2 linked regions of the Sus scrofa genome follow. The protein of the gene in region 2 interacts with the protein of the main gene of each other region in a pairwise test. Links are inferred from orthologs where the notes say so. Each region holds a gene or a part of one and is shown on either strand. Other genes may lie near its edges.

Region 1 (4,376 bases), on a different chromosome or scaffold from region 2:
CATCCCTGGGGGTCAGCGCCCCGGCCCTGGTGGCCGCTCCAGTGCCTGTGTGCCTACCAGCACGTCCATGAGGTAGTCCAGCTCGGCCTCGTCCAGCTCTGGAGCTTCCTCCTTGCCTGGCCCACCCTCCGGGCTGGATTTGTGGCCCTCAGAGGCTGGTGCCCAAAGTTCACTGTCATACATGGAGGTGTCAATGTCCTCAAACAGGCCCTCAAGCCCATCGTCCAGCAGACAGCCAGTGGCCGGGCCCAGTAGGTCCAAGGCACCCAGGCTGGGTGGGGCTCCCCCAGTGGGGCGGCCTGGTGGCCCCTCATCTACCAGGGGCTGGGGGGCCTGACTCAGGCCCTCAATATGGCTGAGGTCCTCCAGGAGGCTGGCCATGGAGGCCGAGAGGGCGGCGTCCGAGCTGGTCAGCAGGTTGTCCACCACACCAGGGGATGTAGGCGGGGTGGGCACAGGTGGCAGAGCAGCCGCGGGTGCCATGGACGCCTGGATTCGCCGTAGCGTGTTCACAACCAGCACCAGGTGCCGCAGGTCCGGCTCACTCTGCCGCAGGCTGTGATGGAGCTTGAGCACCGAAAGGTCGAAGAGGGAACTGGAGGCCACCGACTGGGGTGCCTGTGCCACTGCTGGGTGGCCAGAATCCAGCCACCAGGCGTCAACTGCCAGGGCTTCCTTCTCCTCCTCCTCCTCCTCCTCCCGCTTTCGCTTCAGGCCCTTGCTCAGCATCATCTGCAAGGAAGGACAGTCAGTCAGTTATGGAAAGCCAACGTGAAGTTCTGACAACTGCTGTGTGATCTTGGGCAAATCACTTAACCTCTCTGACCTTAGCCTTTCTTAGGGAAACTTTAGAATATGAATGATATTTGTATCTATTTCCAAGAGGTTTTGTTTGTTTGGTTTTGGTCTTTTTAGGGCCACACCAGCATTATATGGGAGTTCCCAGGGTAGGTATTGAATTGGAGCTGTAGCTGCTGGCCACATCCACAGCAATGCGGGATCCGAGCCTCATTTGTGACCTACACCACAGGTCACAGCAACCCTGGATCCTTACCCACTGAGCGAGGCCCAGGAGGGAACCCTCATCCTCATGGATAAGAGTTGGGTTTGTTACCCCTGAGCCATGACAGAAACTCCCCTAGAGGTGTTTTAAGGAATAAGTGAGATACGAAAAGAACTTACAACAGTGAATACGTATACAATAACTCCCATAAATAATACTATTAATATAACTATTATTTATTTCTTCAGTGAAACATGTAAAATGTCCAATAGTCTAAACTTTCTTTTAACCTGCGAGGCAGCTGTTTCACGTGCTTTAATCTAATATTTATTGGGGTGCCTACTAATAGTATCAGACAACCAATACATAAACAAATACAGGAAGTGTTAGAAGGTGCTAGGAAGATACCAAAAGGATCTGAGCATAGTCAGGGAAGGCTCCCCCTCCGAGGTGACTTTGACAATCTTTGTTTGTTTGTTGGCTGGGCCTGTGGCATGTTGAGGTGACATTTGAAATGAGCCCTTAAGTATGAGAAGGAAGTAGCCATGGAAGAACCTGGGGGAAGGCATTCCGGGAATAAAGGACAACCGCAAAGGCAAAGAAAGTCTTAGAGGCTGGAACAGCTTGAACTGAAAAAAAACTCTGAGGTCAGTACACAGGGCGACATGGGGGCAGGGAGGGAGAAGAGCGAGTTGGAGAGGAGGCAGAGGCAAGGAGCTTGGAGTTTATTGTGAGTGTGGTGGGCAGTCACTGAAGAGTTCTGAGCAGGGAAGAGAGTCGCGTTGTGGACTGATTAGGTTTCCAGAAGATCCCCTAGGCTGCTTTGGGGAGCAGGGACAGGGAGGGAGGCTGGAAGAGTGTGGCACTGCGATCCATTGGAGGCTTGGGGTGGGCGATGATGGTGACTTGGGAGTAAAAGGCGGTAGTGGCCATGGAAGGAAGTTGGTCGATTCAGGATTTATTTGAGAGGCAGAATGGACAGAGCTTGCCGGACAATCCTGATAGGCACAGGGGTCACCGAGAGAAGTTTGAGAACCCACACTTTGCCCGGGGTGGTGCCCTGGCCCAACCTGATTTTTTAAATCGGGCAGCCTGCAGGGTACAGTGGGTACTGGGATCCTTGCCTAGCAGGACTTTAAGACGGACCGCTCACACTACTCAAAACTGGGTCCTCTCTTCCTTCCCAGCCGACCCGGGAGTCCGGAACCGCAGGAATTCAGCCCCCACCCCCGACTCCTCCCCCGTGTTCCGGCGCCCCCTAGCGGCCCCAGGACGGCTTTCTTCCGGGGACTCCGGCTCCTCAGACCCCCCCGGACCCTTTATGCTGCCGCGCGGGACGTGAACGTTCCTGCCAGCCGCCCGGGACCGTGCGAGCCGGAATACCCAGAGAGCTGTTCTGCTCTCTCGGCCTCCGCTCGCTTCCGGAAGGCAGTGGAGGCGACTCCTCCCGAAGCGGCGGCGGCGGGGGCGGGTGAGTCACACAGCCGGAGCCAGAGAGCCGGCGCCTCCGCCCCCTTCCCGGGCTGCGGCGTGATTCACCCGGCCCGGCCGGGGCGGACGGCCCTTAGAGGCCCGTGCGTCTCGATTCCAGACAGCCCTGGTTCGCACCTGCCGGACGCAGGGATCGAACCTGCCAAAGGACCCCGCGGCCAGTACCCCTTCTTTCCCCTGGTTTCTTCCCTTCATTTACATACCCAGCTCACAAACTGCCAATCAGGACGAAGAGGGAGCCACCCGCAGCCAATCAGGAAGCGGTGGCGGCAGCATTGCTCGCTCACTCTCCTCCAGCAACCGGAGCCTGGCTTGAGAGACGGAGTTCTGACTCCAGCGCACGACTTCAGGCTCTCCACTCCTCTTAGCTACCGCCCACTCCCCTGGAGGCCCCGCCCTCCACTCAGGGATTGGTCCTAGATGGCGATGGGCGGGGCCTATAGGGGGCAGGTTCGAAAGGAGGGGAAGTGGTCTTCAGGGCGCATGTCCGGGCAGCTTCGTGAAGGAACCGGGGAGAGAAGGTGGGGTGGCTCTTTGCCCTGTGGGACGGTAGAGGGTGGCGTTTGTGTCTCTCCTTGTGCTGCCCCCTCACACCTACCCCCGGCCCCGCCAATTCCAGCAGTTGAACTTCTTACTCACCCAGCCCCAACAGGGGTCTACACTCTAAGCCAGATAGACCCGGGGTTCAAATTCTCACTCGATGCGAGAACTTGGAAAGACGCTTGACATCTCTGAGTCTGTTAAATGGGAGATCTTCTTGCCTAGCTCTTGAGAGTTAGTAAAATTAAAATAAGGTCGTCTCTGTAAAAGCACTATATCAGACGCTACAGATGCTGGGCAGGTGTACTCAATTGTGGTTACAGGAACTAGGAAGGGAGGGGTGGGATGTCCCTGGAGCCCCTTCTTGGGCTCCCTTCCCTAAGTAGCTGTGTGACTTTGCACAAATGTTTTAGTTTCTTAGGAGCATCTCCGTTTCCCCACCTCTAAAATCAGACAAATAGCATCTGGCTCAGAGGGTTGTTTTTTTTTTTTTTTTTTTTTTTTTTGTCTTTTGTTGTTGTTGTTGCTATTTCTTGGGCATATGGAGGTTCCCAGGCTAGGGGTCGAATCGGAGCTGTAGCCACTGGCCTACGCCAGAGCCACAGCAACGCAGGATCCGAGCCGCGTCTGCAACCTACACCACAGCTCACGGCAACGCTGGATCGTTAACCCACTGAGCAAGGGCAGGGATCGAACCCGCAACCTCATGGTTCCTAGTCGGATTCGTTAACCACTGCGCCACGACGGGAACTCCAGAGGGTTGTTTTAAGGATTAAAAAACAATTGGTGCAAAACGTTGGAAGTGGTGTGTGACAACGTGTCCTTTCGTAGTAATGGCTGTTGTGGTAATAGCACAGTTCAAGGGGAGACACGCCGGATGGGATGAAGGTAGACAGCAGTTTTATACTTGTTGGCTAAACTGACAATGGGTCTTACCTTCTTCAGTAGCTCGTTTGCTAACTCTTCAGGCCCTATGGGAAGAACTGTTTGTGAATAAAGCCCTTGACCAAAGTAAGCCATCAAAAATGCTAACTAGACTGGTTGATTCAGACAGCGATTATCAATGGATGCTCAATCTCAAGTGTCTAGATCCAACTCCAATTTCTAGGGAACAGAGAGTGAAAAATTAAACACGAAGGCAATCAGGCAAATACACAATGTAGGCTGCCTACAGCACCACAGGGTTATCCTATCAGAAATTCAACTTCAAGAAAACACAAGAAGGGATTGGGGGAGGTAGATATTTCAGAATACCAGAGACTATATAATTTCTTTATTAAAACCAAATAGGCATCTGAATCTGCATTCAATCATGATTGGGGGCTGGGGTGGGCAGAAACTC
Region 2 (2,932 bases):
TCTTAGGAAGAGGCTTCAGTCTCAGGCAGCCTGTCCTCTTGAGGTAGTGAAAGGAAAGCTTACCTGACCCAGATTTCCTCCCATCAGCTCTGCAACAAGCAGAAAGCAGATCTCTCCATCCAAACTTTTCAGAAACTGTCCCAGGGCAGCCTCTGATTGGCCAGTTTGAGTCACATGCCCAACCCAGAGGCAATCACAGTTGCCAGGAGAATGGGAATCTCTGATTGGCTTCTCCTGGGTCATGTGACTTCTTCTGGAGCTGGAAGTGGGGTCAACAGTCACCCAGACCCCGGGGGCGGGGGGGGAGAATGGAGCTGCCAGAAGTCCTCTCCAGGAACCACGGGAGGGAGGGAGTCTTGGTGAAGGGTACTTGGAGGTTCCCAGGAAGGAGGGAGTGATAACTATAGAACCTCCCCCACCACAAGATCCTGGTCAGGGATGGGCTCCCCGCTTCCTGTTTCTAGGACAACCCGTTCCGTGAAAGGATTGCCCAGGTCTTCTCTGAGGATGGGGATGGACACATGACCTTGGATAACTTCCTGGACATGTTTTCCGTGATGAGTGAAATGGCTCCCCGGGACCTCAAAGCCTACTATGCTTTTAAAATTTATGGTGTGTGCAGGGCCCCGGGGTGGGGAAGTGGGAACAAGGGTGGGTCCTGGGCCAGGGAATGCCCTGCTGTCACAAATATCTCCCCCAGGGCTCTGAGGTCCTGCATGGCCCAGTCCTTCACCCTGCTCTGGTACCTCCCACCTCATCCCTTTGCTCACTCCATTCCAGCCATACTGGCCTGGCTCTTTCTCCCAAACACAAAACTCCTTCTGCTTTCAGGCCTTTGCCTCTGCTGTGCCCTTTGTCTAGACTACCTTTCCCCTGGCTCCTTCTTACCTCGAAATTGAGGTCCAGAGTAGCCCTTGCCCCGAGTGACTCTCCATGCCACATAGTATTTCTCTCCTAGCATGGAGCAATGCTGCTTAATTTATTGTTCCTTCATCTGCTCACTTATAATTTCTCTCTGAGGAGACCCAAGGTCAGGGGTGGTGTGTTTTGTACACCATCTCTCTCTGTGTCTGGCACATAGTAGGTACTCAATAAATACTTGTTGAGGAGTTTTCACTGTGGCTCAGTGGGCTAAGAACCCAGCTAGTATCCATGAGGATGTGGCTTTGATCCCTGGCTTCATGCAGTGGGTTAAGGATCCAGTATTGCTGCAAGCTCTGGTGTAGGTCCCAGATGCAGCTTGGATCTGGCGTCGCTGTGGCTGTGGTGTAGGCTGGCAGCTGTGGCTCTGATTTGACCCCTAGCCAGTGAACTTCTGCAGGTGTGGCCCTAAAAAGAAAATAAATAAATATTTGCCAAATGAATGAATGAATGAATGAAAATTCATCACAGTGCCTGGCATACAGTAGGCACTCAATAAATACTTGTTGAAAGAGGGGATGAATAAGAAACAATTATCACATGCCTGACGCATAGTAGGTGCTCAATAAATACTTGAGTGAATGAATGACTTCCCAGCAGGTCCCTGCCCAATTCCAAAGCAAGATCCAGCTCTTACCCCCAGGGTCTTGTGTTCCTTCCAGTGCCTGAGTTTCCTCCGCTGTAACACGGGGACAAGATATACCCATGACTAGCCTGGCTTGCCTGCACCCTGCTGTCCCCTCACCCTCATGTCCCCTTCCATTCTGCTGTACAGACTTTAACAACGATGACTACATCTGTGCGTGGGACCTGGAGCAGACCGTGACCAAGCTGACACGAGGAGAGCTGAGTGCTGAGGAGGTGAGCCTGGTGTGTGAGAAGGTGCTGGATGAGGCTGATGGGGACCATGATGGGCGGCTTTCCCTGGAAGACTTCCAGAACATGATCCTGCGGGCACCAGACTTCCTCAGGTGATATTCCTCACTGCCCCACACAGTCAGTTCCCACCTCTGAGAGGCGCCCTTATGAAACAGGTTCACAGACTCCATTTGTGAAAGTTCCTTTGGTCATTCATTGGTGACCTCGGGAAATTTTCCCAACCTCCTTGTCTTCAGTCCCTGCGTGTTTAAAATGTGGATAATTGGCATTCCCACTGTGGTACAGTGGGTTAAGCATCTGATTGCAGCGGCTCGGTGGCTATAGAGATGTGGGTTCCAGCCCGGCCCAGAGCAGTGGATTAAAGGATCTGGTGTTGCTGCAGCTGTGGTGTAGGTTGCAGCTGTGGCTCGGATTCAATCCCTGGACTGGGAACTTCATATGCCACTGATGAAGCCATAAAAATAAATAAACTAAAATGGCAATAATTAGACACCCTGTTGACACCTCCTGTGTCACAGGGTCACAGCTCTTTGGGTGAGTGGAACACGCTTTGACTTCAGCCCTCACTTTCCTGAACATTTTGCAGTGAACAGACTACACAACTGTGCTTGGCAGCCCTGGGGAGAATCAGAGCCCCTGCTGCAGGGCAGAAAGTGGGGATTCAGCGAGTTAATGCAGGGGGTAGCCAGCCACTTTTTTCCATGCCTCCTGTGAACTAAGAAGGGTATTTATATTTTTAAATGGTTGGGGGGAAAAATCAAAGAATAATCATACTCCATGACACATGAAAATGATATGAAATTCAAATTTCTGTGTCCATTGCTAGTTTTATTGGTACACAGGCATGCCCACCTGTGTACATATTGTCTGTGGCTGCTCTTTTTTCTTTTTTTTCTTTTTACGGCCATACTTGTGGCATATGGAAGTTCCTGGGCTAGGGATCAAATGGGAGCTACAGCTGAGGCCTATACCACAGCCACAGCAACACCAGATCCAAGCCCCATCTGTGACCTACACCAAAGCCTGTGGCAACACTGGATCCTTAACCCACTGAGTGAGGCCAGGGCTTGAACCCACATCCTCATGGATACTAGTTGGGTTCTTAACCCACTCTGCCACAATGGGAGCTCCC

What was found.
Region 1: the proteins of CIB3 (region 2) and SERTAD1 interact in binary tests that used the Homo sapiens proteins (3 or more experiments, as listed by UniProt). The two-hybrid records come from large-scale screens. The link is inferred for Sus scrofa from reciprocal best matches to the Homo sapiens genes CIB3 and SERTAD1.

Annotation. Positions count from the first base shown.
Region 1 is NC_010448.4:48,699,578-48,703,953, forward strand, and holds the start of SERTAD1 (SERTA domain-containing protein 1), read right to left. Parts: upstream 2,872-4,376; 5' UTR 2,698-2,871; intron 733-2,697; coding exon 13-732; 3' UTR 1-12. UniProt on the Homo sapiens protein: Acts at E2F-responsive promoters as coregulator to integrate signals provided by PHD- and/or bromodomain-containing transcription factors. Stimulates E2F1/TFDP1 transcriptional activity.
Region 2 is NC_010444.4:61,410,617-61,413,548, forward strand, and holds part of CIB3 (calcium and integrin-binding family member 3), read left to right. Parts: intron 1-464; coding exon 465-612; intron 613-1,696; coding exon 1,697-1,892; intron 1,893-2,932. UniProt on the Homo sapiens protein: Acts a an auxiliary subunit of the sensory mechanoelectrical transduction (MET) channel in hair cells. Plays a role in regulating hair cell MET channel localization and function.